Schizosaccharomyces pombe: one gene and its partners. Each later gene encodes a partner of the first gene's protein in a complex. Each region holds a gene or a part of one and is shown on either strand. Other genes may lie near its edges. The genes, in order: swd3, shg1 and spf1.

What was found.
Region 2: swd3 (region 1) and shg1 share a complex: the UniProt entries of both Schizosaccharomyces pombe proteins name them as parts of the set1 complex.
Region 3: swd3 (region 1) and spf1 share a complex: the UniProt entries of both Schizosaccharomyces pombe proteins name them as parts of the set1 complex.

Annotation. Positions count from the first base shown.
Region 1 is NC_003423.3:546,402-550,729, forward strand, and holds swd3 (Set1C complex WD repeat protein Swd3), read left to right. Parts: upstream 1-1,962; 5' UTR 1,963-2,268; coding exon 2,269-3,411; 3' UTR 3,412-3,828; downstream 3,829-4,328. Other genes in the region: translocon alpha subunit Sec61, read right to left, coding at 1-63, 189-221, 278-390, 444-511, 556-565; SPOM_SPBC354.04 (uncharacterized protein), read left to right, coding at 3,895-4,328. UniProt on the Schizosaccharomyces pombe protein: The Set1 complex specifically methylates 'Lys-4' of histone H3.
Region 2 is NC_003424.3:2,355,276-2,362,268, forward strand, and holds shg1 (Set1C complex subunit Shg1), read left to right. Parts: upstream 1-2,043; 5' UTR 2,044-2,085; coding exon 2,086-2,193; exon of another isoform or gene 2,194-2,300; coding exon 2,301-2,422; exon of another isoform or gene 2,423-2,487; coding exon 2,488-2,656; 3' UTR 2,657-3,113; downstream 3,114-6,993. Other genes in the region: gdt2 (GDT1-like protein), read right to left, coding at 73-879, 1,151-1,207; mitotic spindle checkpoint ubiquitin ligase Dma1, read right to left, coding at 3,295-4,098; mannosyltransferase Imt3, read right to left, coding at 5,168-6,238. UniProt on the Schizosaccharomyces pombe protein: The Set1 complex specifically methylates 'Lys-4' of histone H3.
Region 3 is NC_003421.2:359,908-370,886, forward strand, and holds spf1 (Set1C PHD finger subunit Spf1), read right to left. Parts: upstream 5,576-10,979; 5' UTR 5,572-5,575; coding exon 4,297-5,571; 3' UTR 3,853-4,296; downstream 1-3,852. Other genes in the region: SPOM_SPCC594.03 (uncharacterized protein), read left to right, coding at 1,449-1,775; SPOM_SPCC594.04C (steroid oxidoreductase superfamily protein), read right to left, coding at 2,792-3,826; vsl1 (SNARE protein Vam7), read right to left, coding at 6,021-7,010, 7,047-7,082; bouquet formation protein Bqt3, read right to left, coding at 8,272-8,883, 8,933-9,088. UniProt on the Schizosaccharomyces pombe protein: The Set1 complex specifically methylates 'Lys-4' of histone H3.

The DNA of each region.
Region 1 (4,328 bases):
ACAAGAAGCTGAACCAGCATACTGGAAGTGACAATAGGAGATATACCTAATTCCATGAGTGTTCTTATAATGGTTAGTAAATGCATAAACACATTTTTTAAAAAATGAAAAATAAGGAAGTTAAAGAGTAATCTCTTGTCAGTGATGGTTACAATACCTTCACTCATCCATATTTCTTAAAAACATACCCTCGATTGGCAGCTAAAATCATACGTAGCCAGCTGAAAAAGTCATTAGCTTTAGAAAATTAAAATTTAAACAAAAATAATAGTCTTACAGCAAAGGATCCGAAGAGTCTGAAGAGACAATTCCATATAATGGTACTTGAGACATAACCAAAAAAATCAACAAGGTGACTCCAGTCCATAACATTTTTTGCTTGAAAGGGACCTAGATTCGATATTAGCTTTCGATGTCTCTTATGAGATACATATGCTACATACCTTTCGTTCGGGTGCAGCAATCTCCGGTAAGAATGGCGCGAAAGGCTTTACAAGGTCCAGAAATCGTACTGTATAGTGTTAGAAATCAATAAGAAATAAAGCATGGTCTTACAATCACTCATATTGTATAATTTAATTAGATTTCTGCCCAACTAAACTTGCTGGTTCTTGTTGACAGTGAAGTATCATACTGAGGTTTTGGTGGTGAATTAAATTAAGGCAGCAGAACGATGGAGATAACTATTCACTTAAATGCGATAACAAGTAAATATTTCGTTTCATTATATAGTTAATAAATACGCTATAATACCAGTATAAACATTTGTTGAAGCTGTAATGAATGCCTGAATTGCCCATTTAACAAGCGTTAGAGAAGTTTTTTAAGCCGATTAAAATTCAAAATAATAACTGCTGAAATGATTTTACTTCACATAGGGATTAAAAGGAGATGCGATTTCCATTACGACCCAGGCAACAAGGTTGACTAATAAATCAAGATCATTAATTTAATATGGAATAAGAAGGGAACTAAAGGCTATGATGAAAGGCTTAATATGTGTACCGATCTAAGATGCCAACTGTTTCACCAAAAAATGAAAACACAATATTGTTTTACCAATTTGTAATTGGGAGATTGGATCAAATAAATTGATTACCAATTCATGACCTCAACAAGTAATTCTAGTTGTTCATAAGTGTTAGCCTCTTTCTTGCAATTACTATCCACGTGATTTAGATGTTTCTGTGGAACAACAGCTATCTGGATAAAAAAACTTTGGGACAAACGAGAGTGAAACATTTTTAACTTAAATTATTTGCATCACTCTGAAAGTTATGAGTTGACTCATTCGAAGTCAGTTGAGAGATGAATCACAGACACTACTTATTGAGAACTTTAAGCAATGGAAAACTTGATATCGAAGGAGCTATCAAAGTCAATATTAATTGAATGAGGACATTATGCAAAGAACGTATTTTGGTTCATTATAAGGAAACCTCTTTTTAGTATCTTTCAAACAAGCAGGAGCTTCATGAATGCAAGGCCGGAGAGAAATTGGACTAGCCTACTCACAGACTAGAAGATTACAAAACTTCAAAGGATATGTCTCAGTACGAAGATCGTACCCTTAGCGCAAGAGTATTGAACCCTCGTCAAATTAGTGAGCAATATCAGAAAAAAGTTTTTGTATTAATTCCTTGTAAACTTTACGTTTCAGTAAAAGGAGCCTAGTCGTTCTTCTTCATTCCCTAAGCTTTTTCATAACTTCAATGCGTGAATTATTGTACAATTTGTAGTAAACTTCCATTTATTAAGTCTTTGAACTAAATGGCTTAAAAATGACAATATTCCTGAATATCCTTTGCAGAGTAGTTTTCGACGTGAATTGCGAGGAAAATGAACCTGTAAACTTTATTGAAGACGAGTCAAATTATTGAGTTATTTAATATAAGTCCAAAGAAAAGCGTTTTTTAAATAGTCATTATTGTGGTATGTTGCTAGTTGAATGTTATACACTTCGTTGTCCACACCAGTTACTGCTTGTGCATACAATAAAGCTGGATGCTTAAAAAATTGACTGGCATCATTGTAATTTTATAATCTACATATGCAAAAAGCCCATGAACTTTTTTTCTTGTACATAGACTCTAGAAAGAGGAAATAAATTGATCGATTTTACTATCAGACAAAGGCGTTTGTTTATGATTGTTGAGATCATTCAATAAACCTTTTAATACTTCCTGATACGATTTTTGTCTTTAGTCCATTTTTACGAGAAGTACAAACAATCGGTCTGATAATTTTTCACATATCGTATATTAGAAGATGGATTCCACAGCTCAACAATTTCCTTTGAACCACGACCTGCAAGTACAAAAAGACCAGAAAGGTGTTGTAGAGGAAGATGAGGAGCAAATACATAAGCGCATTCGCAATTATGAATCACATTCAGGATTCTCTGAATATTGTACTCTTTTCGGTCATGAGAAAAGTGTTACATGTGTCAGCGTTTCCCCTAACAAACGATGGATCGCTACCTCTTCATCCGATGGAACTATAAAGATTTGGAGCGCACTTACGTTTCGACTTGAATGTACACTTTTCGGCCACTACCGAGGAATATCTCAAGTAAAATGGGCAACTGGTAGTAAGTATCTAGCTAGCGCTTCTGACGATAAGACCATAAGGATTTGGGATTTTGAAAAACGGTGCAGTGTGAGATGTTTAAAAGGTCATACAAATTACGTTTCATCAATTGACTTTAATCCATTGGGCACGCTTTTGGTGTCAGGATCATGGGATGAGACTGTCCGTATATGGAATCTTCAAGATGGAACTTGCCTTAGGATGCTACCTGCACATTCAGAACCTATTATATCTGTTTCTATATCAGCTGACGGAACTTTATGTGCGACTGCTAGTTATGATGGAATGGCACGAATTTGGGATGTTCTCAGTGGCCAGTGTTTAAAAACATTAGTTGAACCCATTAATGTTCCTTTGTCTAATCTCCAGTTTACAGAAAATCGAAAATATCTGCTTGTAAGTAATCTTAACTCACAGATCCGTCTTTGGGATTATCGCCGAAACCGTGTGGTACGAATATTTGATAGCCACGTGAATACAAGATATTCTATGTCTTGGGATTGCTATTCTTCTAAAAATATTCCTAAAAATACTGAAGCTTTACCCAATAATGACTCTTCCTACCCTGATGATGCAGAATCTTTCATGCACGATGCTTATCTTTTAATTCCTAGTGAAGATGGAACAATCCAAATTACAGATCCGAGTACAAAAATAATTATTGACGATTCAATTAGGCATTCCGATGATCCAGAAACATCACTTTTAAATGTAACCAGTTTAGGTCCTTTCATAATCACATCAGGAACTGATCCTTATGTACGAGTTTGGGCTCCTTCTCTTCTATTGTCGAAGCACGAGAAAGATGGCTTTTCACCTTAACCTGAATTGTTGACAAATAATGTATAAAGTTTAAAGAAACTACTTGGAATTACGATGAAGATAATGATGCTAAAGGTTTACGTGCGAAAACAAGCTCCTTACTTCCAATCCAAAGGCTAGTTGGCCTATGAAAACTTAAGTGGATCGATACATAGAAGATAAAATTAATTTATACAGTCTTCGATTATTCTTTACAGAAGATTTCTCGAAGAACGAATGTCGGCCAAGTTGATATCCTGAAATTGATGGTTTTTCTAATTTTTCTCGTTTATTAAACCAGTTATATTCATTTTGTTACTAATTTTCATCATCTAGTTTAATTCGACAGATTTTAAAGGGAGATAAATTTTTTACTTTTTTTTCCTAATATTTATTCCTTTACCACTACTGATATTCTAATAAGGTAAAACTTTTTTCGAATTAAATCATTTGGCCGAGTCAAACTTAAAATAATTGAGAAAAAAACGTATTACCTGATTTTCAATGAGTGAAAACCCAGCACATAAGGATTTGGACAGTTTGCAGGTTGACGAGAAAGCAAAAAGTTGGATTGCTGAAAAAGTTGAAGAGGAGCTCCGAAGGTTAGAGTCAGTAGGTGCTAAAGCGATCCCCTTAGATGTTAAGAATTACAGTGTTATGTTAGATGAAGACACGGATACTGTGGTAAACAGAATTGAGTTGATGACTAGCTTCGACTTTGATCATGTTCAACAAATTCTTCTATCCGCCGTACAGCCCTATCCTTATGATAAAAACTTAATGTTTGTTTATTTGGTGATATTAACGCCTCTTCCACACCCTATGTTAATTCCATATTTGTTTGCACCCAAGGTCGTAGGCAAGAATCTACTACCCCGTGCTGACGGATTGGTAGAGAATACCTTGAAAAGATGGACATTCATTAATGATAAGCTCAA
Region 2 (6,993 bases), on another chromosome or scaffold:
ATAACACATATTATAAAAAGATTGTATTCTATAGTATCTATTATTTCTAACGGCATAGTAATACGTTGTATTTTAAAAAAAGCCTTGATAAAAATAAACCAATCCAAATGCAATAAAGAGTATTCCTCCAATGAACATGACTTTATGAACCTTTATCTTGGTAGAAATATATTTTCCAGAAATAACTGCCAAAGCTGTACAGCAAGCATGACCAACATTAGCCCCCATGAATACACCGTAAACATTATCACTAGCAGCCATTGCAATAGTAGCGATTTGGGAGCGATCTCCCCATTCACTAACAAAGGTAAGTGCAAACGCCTTTATAAATAAAGGAGAAAACAGGGTAGCCATAACGTTCCGTCCCTTTGATTTTAATTGCGACATTAAAGTATGTCCAGAGCGAGACCTGTGACCAGTGTAGTGGGAAGGTGCTGCCCCTTCCTCCAACAATTGGTCGATGGGGCCATTAGCAGCTATTTCGTTGCGGACGTTCTGAAATTCGTCAGACATGGATTCTTTAGAATCCATAACTTCCTTCGCTTCCATAAGCATTTTAATTCCAAAAATCACAAAAAGGACACCTCCCAGAATGTCCGTTAACTTTCTAGGAAAAAGTAATGGAGCGGCGTGCCCAAGAAGTACTCCTAATAATGTCATGATGAATAGAGCTGAGTATGACCCAGCAAAAACAGTTAATCGAGAGTTTTCAAAGGCCAAAAGAGCAGCTACGATGAAAGTCTTGTCTCCTATTTCACAACCAAAAATCATAGATATAGAGAAGATCAAACTCCTAAGAAAGTCACGGTTTGTTGGGTGCACTTCCTCTGGATGTTTGATAGCTGACACGTCTGCCATACCTTCGCCAACGATTTTTTTCTAAAGTAGTGTTAGATTCAATGCAAAAAAACTTTGATTTCAATTATCTATCAAAACATTACTTCTTCCAAAAGGAAAAGTGAATATCATTGATTTAAGAATGTAGAAAAACGATTATAGCAAAATCGTAAATTACTGAGACAAAGTAAATTCTGCATCACCTGCATATTTGCACGGAATTTATTTCGTCTTTGTACAACAATAAACTAATCACGATTGTATTGCACAAGAACCAATGAGACGTGTTCTAAAGGACAAGGAAAAAACTTACAGCCACGACGGTTGACAGCAAAACCGCTATAATCGCCCATTTTATTGGATTTTTCATGACAATATTAAAAGACTGGGATGCAAATAGTAATTGCAATGTTTGTTGAGCGTAGATGCAAAGTTTGGTGTAGCTGAAATTTTAAAGGTAGTTAACAAATTCTTCGACGTATTGTGCGCACACCAAAAAAAAGCAGTTATAATTAAATGAATTCAGAAAAACAACCACATTTTGAAAATAGGCCTGTGTCTTTGGTTAGTATCGGTAAAACATTTTCATTTATTTTCTGGCCTTCACGTGGCATATGCCAAAAACCTCTAATTTGTTTTAAAACAGGTTTTTAACTCTTATCTTTCGAAAAGTTGTTATAGTTACCACTTGACTGTATATTAATTGATCATTAGTGGGTATAATACAAGCATTAGGACTTGCAAATGCTCATAATTTTATGCCTTTTTTTTACTTTCATGTATTACTTGTTGTAGCAATAGGAACCAATGCCAATCCTTTTAATTGTAAGTGTAATACGCGAAACCAAACAGAAGTTTGATAATTTTTTAGATGGGAAACTCACATTGCACTACCTACATAACGCAAGTTCAACCATAAACACATAAGAAAATTCACTAGCCAAACGGTCAAAGTAAAGCCTTAACAACAGAACATCGCATTTAAGTTAAACCTCGTTAGTACGTGTTTCTTACAGGGTGATTGTACGAAGTCCCTTCTGCGAGATATTACTTCAAGAACTTTTACATTGAGCAATCAAGACACGATCAATTAATTCAAGTTAAATGTGTCTTGTAAAATAACTCGAGTTTTATTAATAAGGTAGTATAAATATGGCCGAATAATCTGTAATCAAATCTTTACATTTCGTGAAAATTCTTTTCTTTACCACATTATTTTACCGTGTAGTCAATTCATAAACAAAAGGCATGGATAGGGATGTAACACTTAATGTTGATGAACTTGTATCTAAATTTAAAAAAGAAGGACATTTTGATCGCCTTCGAAAACAAATTCTAGAAACAGTAAATGAAAAGGTAGGGTCATCGATAGTTTCCTCAAAAATTAAACTATCACTATTTTTTTTAACTATCATAATGATACCAATGTCACTCACTCTTTTGCCATACTAACATCGCCTCAGGAATCAGGGCCTTTATTAGATCGGCTGAAAAAAATCATTGATGAAGAAATGGTGAAAGATCGCACACTCAAAAGTAAAGACCAGTTTAGGGCTGCTCCTTTAATTGCAGGTGCCGTAGATAGGTAAGCTTACGACTTAATAATGGTTTTTTTTCTTTTCTTTTTGGAAACTCAGTCTAACCCATAAGATCTTCATTGTATGAAGATAGCATGGAACACATCCGAAGCAATGTTTTATCTGATCAAGATTTGAGGGAAGTTATTTATAATTCTCTTGAACAAATAGGGATTGAACAAATAGAGCATGAGGATGAAGAAAAATTGCTGAATAGTAAAACCATGGATGGGCGCAAATGAAGATAATTAGCTACTTAAAAGTTTGAAAAAGTTTTGTTATTGATTACTTCTAAATTGCATATACTGAACATACTTATTACAATTAAGAATTGTACTCTCGGGAATTTTACCAGCAATCACATTAGGTTGCATAAGAAGTGAATTAAAAGTTATAACATTTAATGATGCTGAAGGAGATAATAAATGGACTCTCAGAAGAACAACCACAATTCTTTCAGATTCGGATCTCTATTACTGCTGATTATTAGTACATTCATTTGTGATGCCAATGTTTCAAAAAAAATAAAAAAATGTGAGAGTATGTAGAGATCAGGTGTGAAGGACGACAGAAGTTAAGATTATATATCCATTTAGGATAATTATATTAATGCAGTAATGAATAAAAGAGACCAAGTAGCACTTGGTTTTCTCATCAATAAAATATTTAATCATTATGAGTGTTGATAAATAAAGTTAGGGAGGCATGCTTGTTTAATTCAATCATCAGGCAACAGCAAATGTCAAAGAGCCTGTGTTCCCATAATCTTCTGCCATGCTCATAAAGACTAAATATAATATGATCATTATGTTACGATGGTCATTAAAGGAAGAACTTGAGGACGTAAAAGACAATTAGTAACCATACTGAAAATAACAGTTTACTCAGATGCATCGTCTTTTACCGTTGCATTTCGTAGAAGGTCATTTAGACTTTCGTCACCTTCTTCAACAGGAGCCTCCAAATCATGATATTTTCTACATATAAAGCAACTGAAGTATGGGTGACTTTCGTTTAGGGTTGGGCGTATGCATTTATAGTGATAAGAGTGAGAACAAGGTGCAACGAACAATGCTTGACAAGGTAAAACAGGCATAAGACATATACAACATTCCGGAGGACCCGATTCAGAAGATCCGCATAACACCAGTTCTTGCATTCTTTTGAATTCGTTAAGGTTGTAAGGACTAAGCTTAATTTTCCAAGAGTTGTTTAGCTCAACTCGGGCACGAACACAACGATAGTTGACTTCATGACCTCCTCTATAATCCGCCCCAAGTTGTAATATGTCGTTGTTCGAGATGGGATAAGGCTTACTCGTTTTTGACGGCGGTGATAAACGAACATGGTTCAAAAATGTACCAGAACTAGAACCCATATCTTGAATGTACCAAGTATTGTTTTCATAAAATATTTGTGCATGCCTTCTACTCACAACTTTGGAACGGAAGACAATAGCAGAAACATCACCGCCGTTGTATCGCTCTGTGTATCTTCCTATGTAAATGGGTAGATTATTTTGCTTGCGGTTCCAGTAGCGAACTAACGGATCAAAAGAGAAAGAATGTGCATTGGGACCGACAAAGTTAGTTAAACGAATTGATATTTTATCGTCGTCCTTTTCAGAATCAGTCTCAGCGGCAAGTTCCTGTTCTTTGAGGTATCCCTCAACAGATTTTGTCATTTTTTGGAAAGAAAAGCTTTATTAAAACAATTGAATGGAGGATAGAAAGTTACAAAAAACAAATAAATTAATGTTAAAAGCTTTTGAAAATTGTCTTCCGTATACCAATTTGATGTTATCCAAGAAAAAGTTCAAAGAAATATGCCTTCCTTCTAGTAAATTGAAGATAAGGTAAGTTTCAAATCTATTGCTAACAAAATACGAAAGTATATGGGGTTGTTGTGTTTATGTATTAAAGTTTGGAAGCAACAAGAGACAAAAACGAAAACAAAGGCCTCAAAAACAAACAAACTGTTGAAAGCTAAGGAAGGACAGCAAACAGAACTCTTAACTGAATTGCACACTTTAATTCCGAAAAGAAACACTTTTAATAATCAACCAGAATTTAGCTGTAAATGAAAAGCAATCGAAAAAATGATAGTTTTCGCTGTTATCAGAAAAATATGTTATAAATTATGAAGCCAATTTAGTAGAACAAGTAAATTGCACACAGTAAACGGTCAAATGGTGCTGCAAACGAATACAGTTAATGCTATGCCGCCTCGAAAGGCGCATGACTAATTCGGTATCCAACTTACGGTACAACACAATGTTTTCTTCGGTATAGTAATTGTGCATTAAATAAAACAAAACAAATAATAAAAACAAATAAAAAACTAGATGCGTCGCATAAACAATGACGATGATGGTATTTTGTCTATCTTTGTCTCACCATACAGATGGACTTAAGCAACACCGTTTTTATGTTGAATAATTTATTGTTTTAGTATAATTTAGAATTTAGCTGAAAATCCATCAAACAAAAAGTAAGTTGAAATGAGTAGTTCCGAAAATATCTTTAGCATTTCTATTTTTATAGATTTGGACTTGAGTCATTTCATGGTATATATCCCTTTCCGATCACGGTAGACAATTGTGAAATTACTTGCTTTTAATAGACTATATTAGAAAACTAGAACGAAACTAAATGAAATACAAGGATTTATGATAATTCTATGAAAATGAAAAGATAGACAGGTCAAAACTTCAAAGCAAATGAAGCCTTTGTAGTAGCAAATGCCGAGTAATTTTAGGGACTGTGACTTTGAGTTTGCGATTCCAAATCATAATCAGACATGAAAGGTAAAGAATCAGAACGAGTTTGGTCATACTTTTCATTGGAAGAAGTGAAACGATGGAAAATCTTCCAACGGGACGGAGATGTCTTAGAAAACGGAGATGAAAATACCCGTCGACCAGTGCGGGAGACACGAGCGGCAGGCTTCAAAGCATAGCCAAATATAAAATATACAACAATGAAAAACGTCAAAAAACCAAGAAATGTAAAAATGGCCCAGTGATGCAACATATAGAATACAAATCCAGCGTCACTATCGTGCCATGATGAACCTTCATAAATTTCAAAAAATGCATGGTGGCTCTTTTCATACAATTCGGGAACCATCACCCAAATATGATGCCAAGCTTCGGCATCTGGAAGCTTCCGCCAAGCACTCCATATTATCGACAAGAACAATGGACCAGTCGAATACATTACGGTTAGGTAAGGGAAGTGGTAATTAAACGCGAATCTAGGTAGGTTTCTGACCACCTGTAAAAGAAATGGATGCCCTTTAGCAAATCCCATTACATTATTGCTAATCCCACTTGGGGAAGTTCTCCTCACCCATGCTGGATAATGCAATAAGGGATCAAGGGTTCGATTACAACCAACATCCAAATCCAAATATATTCCACCGTATTTGTAAAGAATAAAGTATCGAACGACATCAGCCCGTTCAATATTGTAAGGATAAGAATCATATTGAGTCAAAAACCAAGGATAATCAGTAGCAATAAACTCCCTCATGGATTCATCAGTCCACAATACATATTCATAATCAGGATGTAGATCAATGCAACTTTTCTGGGCACCAACCCATTTTTCCGGAATTTCGTTGGTTTTCCAAGTCTGATGTATAATTTTAGGAATAGCAGCAGACTGGTTTGAATAAATTTCATGATTATAAACGTCATCAACTTTAAGAAGGTCTGTCTTATAATTAATAAAGAACAGCATCATTGGACCTCCAAAAAGATAAACAGTAGCGGAAAGAATTAGTGTCAAAAAGAAAAAAAAGTAAAAAAGTATTTTGTTCATGGTGGCATCAAATATACGCTTCCAGCGAAATAAAATCAGGTCAGTTGTATATTCGTGCTTGGTAGATTCAGCACACAAAAAGAAATTTTGCAATAAAAGTATTTTAGTTGAAGTTAGATAATGCTAGATTTTAACAGATTCTAGTAAGAGGCAAGTTTTTGGTTCTCACTCTTTGCTTGCTTTTTAGGCAGTGTAATTAATTGGACTAAGAGGAAGGAAAAAATATAAGGTGAGATAAAACGTATATACTAATGAATCACTTATATTATTAAAACCCAGTGAACTCGATTCCGCCAAGTAGTACAAGATAATTTTGGTCACTAAAAGAGTTGCCCTGGGACAAAAGCAATAGTAGTATAAAATATTAAAACTGAATTGACGTCGGAGAAAGTCAGTTTTATATTATCAAAATAAAAAACTGGAGAAAAATTAGTAAACATCCAAATTTTGGTCAATTATATCCTTACAAATAAGAAAAAATAAAAAAAATAAATAAAAATTATTGAAAATGCCAGTAATAGCAGACGACAAACTTGGACTAGACAAGAATTGTCAATTGGAGGGGGGGTAAAAACTAAAACTTTTAAGAGATTGATTTGAAGCCAACACTTCTGAGAGAGTAATTAAAAAAAGAAGAAAATTCTGATTTTATAGAGATAAAAACAATGCTACAGTAATACCATCCAGCTGCTGTACAAGTTATGCAAATTGAAGAAGTATTTGGGCTTGGTTGCGGAAAGTTTAGCCTTCCCAAC
Region 3 (10,979 bases), on another chromosome or scaffold:
TTCAATTAACAGACACAGATGGTCCGGTTTTGTTTGAGATAGATGCAGATGAAATTAAATAAAAAGTAAATTTTCAGTAATAGCAAAAAAATTTTGAGGATATTTTTGCCTTTGGTAAAAAAAAGAATGATATACAGTGAGAAATGAAAATTTTTCAAGTTTTCATACACGTATGTACGTTCTTCCAATATTAAGAAAGCGAAACAGAAAATGTCGTTTTAAAATGGATTAAATCGAACAGATTACTAAGAAACTGATGTGGGCTTATTTTTCCAATAGAAAAAGCAAGACAAAACGACCGGGTTTTCCTCTGTTTGAAAAAAATTTCTTCTCGATCAAACTATACGGAGAAAACGAAAGAAGCCGAGTACGAGATGATTAAGACAGCTGCAGAGTTAGATGATAAAAAGATTGCAACAAATCGCACACAGTAATAACAGGGCTTGAAGGTAGAAGAAATTGGTTATAGCAACCCGAAAAAAAAAGCGGAATAACGATCACACGGCACACAATAGAACGAAATTATAGGGGAGCAAAGCAGAGTAGGGCAAAGCAAATCACGTAAATACGTCGACAAATATTATTATAAAGTGTAAAAAAGATTTAACAATATTGAGAAGACAGATGTGCAGGCATATAAACGAGAAAGGCGAAAGAAAAAAGAATTAGTTCGTAAAATCAATCAATAGAAAGACTTTTTTTCGAACAAGTATTATATTGCTCACAAAATCAAACGTTCAAACAAGAACAAGGGAAATTAACAGAAAACGAAAACAAACAGATAATAAATTAATTAAAAAATAGTAAGTGTGAAGGGGTAGAGTAGGTTTTTGTACACAGACGTTCCCAAACCACCGTTCTCCAATAAAAATCCAAGGATAAAAAAATTGCAAATGAAGCCGGAACGGATTCTACAAACAGATGAAGAAGAGAAAACAACTTCAACAGTGTAAACGATAGGAAATAAACCTTATGGAAGAACTTGGTACGCCAAAGCAAACTATATGAAGCCTCAGTCCGCTTCTTTTACACTCAGGTATAATCCGTAAACAAGTCGCAAAACGCTCCGAAAAAAAACTTCAGAGGAAGCAAACTTCAACAGAATTAAAGAACCACCCAAATCACCTGAAAGCTTTCAGTTTCCACGTCTAAACGACAAATTTTCGAAATTTAAAACGACAAGTCCCTTGTTGTGTGTTTGGGGGACGGATGAAGCGTAAGCACATGCTACGTTATGTTTTCTTCATGATCCCATACTCAAACTCGGCAATGACTGTCCTGTGATGTCATAAATAACGATTTTGTTCGTAGTATATAATACCCTACCGTAATGTACCGCTCTCATCTCCCGGAGTGCGTTATTTCCTGACCTCGTGCCCCAGACAACCATCGCTCGGAAGCGTCAGGGGTCTTGAACGAGTCCACGTAACCGAGCCGGGGCATCCTCCATGTGGGTAACGTGTCACCTGCTCAAGAGAGAGAAAGACGAGATGAAGAAAAAATGGAGAGAATGGGCAAAGGAGGTATGCCAATTTGGAAAGCGAATTTTGTGCATTTCAATTACTGATGCGGCACTCGTAAACCTAGAGGTCCTTGAGCCAAAAAATTTTGAGCCTGGGACGCTAGACGGAGCGGGTTTGTTCGGGTGTTGGTCAGCTAACGGGTTGGGAATTGCATTGGCATATGAAATTACCAATAGTAGATTTGAGATCAACTCGGGATATACAGTTAAAGTGAAGTGTTTAAAGAGATTTCAAGGTGAGGCGAGAGGCTAGAATGCTCATGCAGAGCATGCACCCACGATCGTACCATAGAAGGGTGACAGATGGAGGATAAACCAAGGAAAAAAAAAGTTTAATAGAAGAAACAACGTTTAATGTTTTTAAATTGCATGAGACAAAGCAATGTTCTCAAATCAACAAGGCATCTTCTAAGCCAGGCTGCAAATGTGTAATGGACCAATGGAAAAATTCTTACTCACATGAGTAAACGTATAAAACTAACCCTCCGTGTGAATGGTAAACCATGTTACACAGATAAAGCAGCCAAGATAACAGAGAAGGAATTGTACTGTGTGTGTGAGAAAATATTCACATGATAGGTGGTGCTTAGGAACCAAGCAACTGGCGGATGCACAGAAGAAAATGGTAGAGAAAAATGTCAGAAAAACAAAGACAAATGAAAAAAAGAAAATAATAATAAACACTTGAATGAATTTACGGATGTACGTTCCAGTGAATGAATGAGTTTACGGAAAAGAATTGGGTTGGTTTCGCCTCCCTTTTCCCTCCCTCTTTTTCTCCACAGTGAAAAGATAAGATTTTAAAAAAATTTAACATTCAGTTTAAGGAAGCAAACACTTTTGATAGATGGTTTGAAGGCCGCACATAGTTTGAAGACAAAGAGACGAAGTTCAGTTGAGTTTGAGATTTCATAAAATGGATTGTTTCAAAAAATAAAAACAAATTTTTTTTTCTGTTCTGTGTCCTAATAGACATTAGCAATACTATAAACAAAGCCACCACATATTATAACATGGATGAAGAATTCACAAATCAGCATGGAAAAAAATTCACGGATCAGTTGCATAAATAAAGCTTGCATAACTCATCGACAAAACATTGGATAAATAGACTAAGATAGATACACAAGATAATAATACATAAATAAATTACAGTGAACCAAATTTTAGAGAGGGGGTAAAACGTCAAAAGGTTTTGTTACACCAATTGACAAATGAAAATGAAACGAGATCCATGGATCACTAATAGAGGAACATTTTGTTTCTCCATTAATCCTCCTTTAATGATGCATCGTCATCCACAATATCCCAATGACTACCATCTAATCGAGGAAAAAAGCGGCCGACTTTATCTTGATACACTCGATATAACGGATATTTTTCACAGGACATCTTTTCGGTAAGTCTGGTCGAGCCTTGAAAAACGCCCACTAGTCCAAGCCATGCAAAAATCGTCCAATTCAATAGTGATTCTGAAGCGATCGCTCCAAATAGATAAAATGAAAGCCAAATAAGTTGTTCTGCTAAAAAGTTGGGATGGCGACTCCATCGGAAGAGCCCTGTAGCATTGAAACCACGTCCAAGCGACAACAAGTCATACTTAAACCGAGGTGGCACGGTTTTGTCGACATTGTAATGATTTCGCGCTTCATAGTAATCCCATTGCTGTTGGTCGGCTAGCATTTCTAGCACAAACATAAACATGAAAAGCTCGAGTGCTATCCAATCCCATGCTCCAAATGCTCGTTCGTTTCCAGCCAACATGGCAATATACGTGGGAGATGCAAGCAAATATAGGTGGAGCACTTGAAAGATATGAATGTAAAAATAGTGGAATAATGGATATATCCATTTAGGCATGATTTGGCGAACTCTCACCCAACGATAGTCCTCTGCTCCTCGATTATAACCTCCTTTACGGTAATAATTGTAAGTAAGACGCGCGGACCATAGAGTCTGCAAAAATGCCATAATCATTAATCTTCGCGAAGCAATGTTGTATCCCAAACCATAAAACAGAAAATGCAAGGAAAAAGCCGTTGGCAGAATTGGCCATAGCCGATCCACTTGCGATGTATTTTTCGTCCAAACAGACACTCCCCAAAGCACATTTCCCAAAATAAATGAGAGAAGTAGTCCTACAACAAATGGATTCGTATTATAATAAAAATCTGCAAAATTCAACTTTCCAGTAAACAGTAACTTCAAATTGCTCAGTTGATACAGGTAAGGAGATACTGCAACTTTCCATTTTGCGGCATCAGATGCCGAATAAATAATTGGCATGGTGGATGCCAAAGTCATAGTGCTCGTTTGAAAAAGAACAATGGGAATGTCAGAAAGTTGGCTTTCTATAGCTCCACGAAATCCTCTGTCTCATTGTGACGTTAGCTTCTGGAATAAGAAGGATTAGTGAAATCCAAGGAGCCTGCGTTTTCCAAAAAATAAAATAAAATAAATTTCAAAACAAAAGAGAGAGAAAACCTCAAGGCCATTAAGACATGAGTTGATAAAAAGAGAGGGTGTAGAATGTATGTCCTTATGTTAAAAAGTGACTTTTTAGAAGGAAAAACCAAATTACCATCTGTCAACATTATTTTGCGAAACAGGGAGTCAATAAATTTAAAGCCAAAATTAAGAGACAAATGCCAAGCAATATAAACTTTTCTTTCATTAACATTTGCGAATCAATGCCTCGTGATTTACATGAAATGATCTAGAAATTAAAGCAAACTTCAAAATTGTAAATTAAACCAAAAGATGCATCCTTCTGTTTATTTTAATAAATTAGCCATTTTTTCGGGAGATAACTGTTCATGACAAAATCGAGCATAACCGTCGTATTGTATCCCGGGTAGGCACCTCTGTTTTTGATGCTCCAACATTACATCTTTGGCAGTTTGCTTCATGTTTAGTTTTTGTAAAATATTACTTTCTTGCAACTCAAAATCTTCGGTAAAAATTACCTGCCAGCTTGTGTGCTTTGCACATCTTCGCTTCTCTGTAAAGCAGGTGGACTCAGGAGAAGGATCTATACTCATGTCAAGAGATAGCGGTGCTCCATTTGAAACTTTTTCCCACAATTCATTCATTTGTTGTTGATTGAATAAAAGTCGAGAATCGAATCCACACAGATCTTTCTTAATACCTTCTCTTTCTTTGTAAGCAAGAACCGCTCTCCGCGAAGAATCTTTGATCAACTGAAGAAATATTTTTTTGTTAGATGCTACTTCTTTCTCTTTATTTAATTGCACAATTTCTGCGTTCAGCCTATTGGCCTCCTCAATTTCAAAATTGTACACAACTTCAGGAGGAACTTGGCTTGGCAATGTCGGTCCCACCGTACCCAAATTTTGAAATTCTTCCCTTTTTTTTGCAAACAATACAAGATTTTTTATAGCAGAAGGTTCAACCGTACTCAGCTTTACTTTTTCTCGAAAAAAATCGACTCCATGTTTATCACTACAATAGTTGGAATTAGGTCTTGTGGGATTCGAGCATTCTCGTAACCGGCATTTTCTTTTCCAAGTAGTTATACCCTTTCCTTCTTCTGTGCATTTAGGACAAAAGTACTGTACAGTTAAATCATTATAAGATTCAGGTATATTAACGCAAGTGCCATGAAACCAATCTTCGCAACCATCACATCCTAACATCCATGATCCATCATCAGGCTTTTGGCATATACAATACAATGGTCTTTGATGATCGGCTGTAGACAGATTGAGTTGGCTATTCGCATTTCCTCGGTGTTTTCGTGGACCCCTTCTATGAGCTGATACGGGTGGTTTTTTGGGTATTGTAGGCTGTTGAATGACTTGCATTTCTATGTCTGTTTCCGTTGAGGAAGAATCAACGTGACCGTTGACTTCTTCAACCTCCATTTTAACAGATTTATTGAGAATTACGTTGGCGTCTTTCTCTTCCTCATTGTTAGCTGTCTCGATATGAAAATCAGTAATGGTGCCTCTATTCGAATCCTCAAATTTTACAATTGATTCTACATGAGTTTTTTCATTTTCCTCAGTATTCTCTTGCGTTAATTCCATTATTGGAATTTCAGTTGTCTAAGTCTGTCAATAAGTAAAATCTAAAGAAAGCGAGCTTAAGCACAGTACACTAAATGCATTAAAAGGAACTACAAGCCAAACCAAAATACAAAAGAAATGGGGTCTGTCAAAACAAGTTGAAATTTAAACAAGTCGTATATTAATATCAAGCTTAATTAAAGGAGACAATTATTTCAACCTTGACGGACGAACTAACCATGCCTATATAACTCACAGAGGTTACTGCGGTATCTTCAAGAAGATTAAACAAAAAAAAAAAAAAAGGAAAGAACGCAAATACACCAAATAATAAATATTTTTAGCCCAGATAATCTCATCCAAGACAATCACTAATGTAGCAGAATTGGATAGAAAACAAGACAAAACTGCAAAAGAAGATTCCATTAAATTTCGTGAAATTAAATCAAATACTCATAAACACCCAAATATTAACCCAATTTGCGAAGGCCAGCTCGTGTTCTGTGTAGCTTTTTTTGGTTTGCATATGCTTCATTAGAAAGCTCGTCTAACATGGAGTTTTGCTCGACAACTTCTTGATTAATCATTTTCGAAAGCTCCTTCTGCCTTTGAATAATAGGCAATAACGATTCTGCTTGCATATCTTGATCTTCCATAGTTTGATTCTGCATGTTGTACAGTCCTACATTATCAAGCTTTTTTGTTGTCTGTGTCTCTGGCATTCTGTTTTTTCCAAGGACTCTGTTCAAAGAGGTATTAGATTGTTTGTCAGTAGATGCAGATAATGGGCGAAAGGGAGAACTAGGATTAGAAGAGTTTAATTGAGATGAGGCAGAAGGAGGAGCGACTGGGCTGTTTGCATTTTTAACTAACCGTTTAAATGACAAGAATTCAGAACCAAGCTGTTCTAACATATCTTTTCGTCGAAGGATTTCTCCTGGACCAAGAGCATTTGCTAATTCTAATTTGTCTAACGATTCTGAAAGGTTATCCATTAGCGACTTTATTGCATAGACATTCTTTGTTTGAACTCCTATCGTAATGCTTTTTCCACTCATTAAGTCAACTCGGTACATATGTAAATTACGTTTACAATCTTGAAATACTTGAATCCAATCTGTCGGACCCAAAAACTGACCCTGTGTTTCATCTTCCGATTCATCTTTAATATTTAGAAATTTTTTAACCACAGGCATTTTTATCCATGGCGTTTCTGAAAGGCATTGAACGTAAGCTTGTAAAGCAAGTCGTCGAGATTCACGTAACTTTTCATTTGTCACAGTTGAAGAAACCCAAGATTTAGAGGGGAGTTTGCAAAGTCTACTGTTGTAGTCATTTGGCCGAATTTGAGCATCCAAAGCAACGAATTCATTGAACCGACGAAATACAACATGTTTCCCACCATTCGGAAATGCTACTTCAATATGGTAAACCGTCCATCGTGAATATTCATCAGAAGACTAGTTGTAAGTAAAAATTAAAGGAATAAAGCTTACTTGAGACGTTTCTGGTATTTTAATTTTTAGCGCCATACTTGCTATGAACAGGTTGATCAACAATGAGTTCATGAACAACAGACTACTGTATCGGATTTACTGCACTATCGTTATAAAACTGTATAATGTAGAATTTGAGCTTTCAAATAGTATAGGTTCTATTAGTTGAATAAAGATAAATTTCAGTTTCATGATGCTTTAGATCCTTTAAACCTCATGTTTTCCTTGATGCGCGAGATGCCTTTACGATTATCGAATTGGCAGGTATTGAAAGAAAGTTTACCAGTTTGCAATAGATTTAGAAATTAAAATAATGAATTAGGTTAGTATATTATCTTATACCTTTAAACACTTTATAGTCAGATTATTGAGTATTTTTTTTGGCACTCGTGAACGGTGCAACTTACAAGTAATTACAATACCTAAACAGAAGAACGGCAAAATCTTAACGAAGCTTAGTAATAAACAGAAATTGTTTATTTTCTATATTTTCCTACATGGATTGGTTGCAAGCGCGACTTGCCTAAAGTATTAAAAGCACAGAATAAACGCCAGATCGTAACATTATGCAAAAGTGTAAGTATAGGTAGATTCCAAATAACAACAGTACTCTGATATGCATAAAGATTTTTCACTTAAAATACATGTCATGTAAATATAAAGGCCCCACAGATGATATATAATAGTACTAGTGGAACTTAACAACTGTTTTTTCATATCACGAGAGGGAAAAATATACAGCGAAAAGACTTCTCACATTTGCTTAAAGTATAACCATATACTGCTTTTGAACGATCATCCAATTCAAACTATGCGACCCTAATAGATGAGAATAAAGGACGAAACATCCCACAATGGATATCTTTTAAAAGAGTTCGGAATCAATTTGAAACCACAGTCATTAAATTACATATATTCATAGTCAGTTCCACACATGATGTTCAACTCAGAAAGAAGAAATCTGCCTCCTTCATCAGAAATAAATTCCACCGTGAAAACGAAAAATGAAAAAGAGAAGAAAAAGGGCATTAACCTGATGAAAAAAGTTTGACGTTACCTCACTGAAATTATTGAACACGAGTAAAGACATATAGACAAATTTGGAAAATCCCATAACAGATACAATGAATTAAGATAAGCCCATGAGAACTTCCACCAGGAAGTAAACAACCAACTAACTACATTACAAGAAAAAAAATGATGTAAAAGAAACAGAACTCGAACTTTACAGAGACAATGCCCAGCAGATAAAAGTGATAATCCAAATTTGTGACAAGTAAGCACCCACCACTTGGAACATGGCGGACCAATTCATTGAAAACAAAATTGAATAAGGAATAAAGCAATTCCACAGAGTAAGGAAAATCATCAAAAATAATGATTGGGGAATAGGCCTTTCACTAAACACGACTCTTTGAATAACGTAACCAATTGGTACATGGGCAAGATATTGTAACGGGAGCGGAGGGGCAACGAGACTAGTAACAACGTTATGGGAGTTTCCAAGAATAAGACCGTTTAAGAATATCTTTTGTGATATATAATTAAGCACGCTGATCAATACACTCGCCATAATTGTGAATAGGAAAGAGACACTATACTGTGTGTTGACTTGGTTTGAACATTTGATGGGGTTAGCTCTAGAGAAACAGCGCGCCACTAGCAAAGAAATGGCGTCAATTATGAATGCCCAAGCAATTTGACTCAAAGGAGTAAGGTAGTAGGTCGAGAGAAGCACGTATACTGGATATTTCGTAAGTAAAAGCCATCCATAACCTAGGTTGAATTTCTGCAACAGAAGAGATTGACCAACGTGCATAATAATTGATAAATAACTCTTTCAATCCATTGTTAGTAAATCTAAACTTATATAATGATCTGCATACCATCCAGTAAGGAATATCACTTTCCACCACCCCCGTGGAAGCTAATAATCGTGGATTGAGGTGATAATTTAGCAAGCCATAAGTTAACGTGTGTAAAAATAGGTAAATGGACACCTTTATGGTGTTTGAAGACGAACAGCACTTCGATCCTGACATTTTGCGAATATTGGTAGTTTTCATATAGTTTGTCATCGATGAACACACAAGTAACGATTGATCAGGTAACAGTATCTTCAAACAATGGAGTCTGTGAAATGGTAAATAATGAATCAGCAGGAAACCAGGATCCTTTGAATTTAGGTAGTAAGTCTATGGAAAACCAAAATTATATTTTTCTTGAAATTCCGTGTTATTAAATCTCTAGGATTAGTTTGCAAGAAAGTGTTCTCCGTGCAAACATTAGAACCGTGGGATTTTAAGCATAAAATGGGTACAAAATGAAATATAAAAACAAAGAATGACCGATGCCTTTATTACCATGAATAATTATGTGTTTTGAATTATCCCTAAAAAAAAAAAACATTACCTTTATTTTCACTTTATTAAAATAATTTTAACTTATTCATGGAGTTGGTTCATTAACTTAAATGATCGTAAATAATAATCCAAAAAACCTTATACTGCTAATTTACTAGTACCTTTTTTTTTATTTTATTCTTTTTTAAAAAAGAAAAAAGGGGAAATTAGCGACATATATTATGGACTTAAATTTTTCTAAGTACATTACTTTACGTATATGCAACGATTAAAATCAAACTGAAGTAAAAAGGTGATTTTTTATAATTCCTAAAGTCAAACAAAATAATTATTTAATAACATAAAAACCATGAGGTGATTGACTTGAGCGGTAATTTAATATATCAAATAATTTATGTTATTTCAAATCTCTCTTCCCTTAATAATCTGATAATCTATAGTCACTGAGAACACATATATAATAAAAAATGTGCTATTTCAAAATATTTATTCCATTATAGGTAGCTTCATTTTTCATGAGAGAATCGCCAGTGTATATTGAAAATTCATAAAAATAAAAAGCTAAATATTTCGGACAATTGAGACAAAAAAACCTATAAATATATATGTACATATTAAAATAATTTTTTGAAATTTATTAGAATAATCAAGCTCAAGCTTTTGCATTGAAAAGAATTTATACATAAAACATGAATGTCTAAGTATAAAAATTTGAATTAACTAGTTGCTTATATTTCTACCTTTGACATAATGTTATTAAAGAAAGGAAATAAATACATCTGAACGAAATAAATTATAAGTTTATAGGTAAAATGGTTATACAAAGGTGGAAGTACTGTTGGCGTAACTTATTTTTCTGAAGCATTAATGCAAACACCAAACCCGTGCCAACATTAATACTCCATATCTGAAAGAGATAAGTTATTCTATATAGTAAAAAGCTAAATGATTATCAACAAAGTCGATACAATTGCTATATCGGATTTTATATTCACTGATACTCAAAGAATATCAAAATACAATTACTGCATTCTTTACAAATTCTGGATTTCTTTTTGGTTTAAAAAGAATTCATTGAGGCGATTTGAGGATTAGCAGCATATATGTCAAACATTTAAAAGTGTAAACAAAGTATAGAAGAGCTAGCAAATAGCGGAAAAAGGAACGCCCAAAAACTTTATTAATATTAAATATAGAAATTTCTTATGAAATGGCAAGTTTAATTCAAATATGCCAAAAATCTCCTTGTTTTAACAATCGAGAAAACACAGGAATTCACAAAATAGCCATGTACTTGAAAGTCCTTCATCGCGAATGTATTATTGCATTTAACATATATTGTTCCAATTGTACTGCCAGACAAACCAGAATAATATTTTTAACAACATAGCGTGTTCAAAAACTCAACTTGACTTTTCATCAATTAATCATTTTTTGTCGAAATCGTTACAAGTATTTGAGAGAGCGTAATGATTACATTACTTAAATCCAGCTGATGATGTACAAAAGATAATAATTGCGGTTTTTGAAAATGAAAGCGAAGTTTAGAAAAGGGCTTGCTATGTGCATA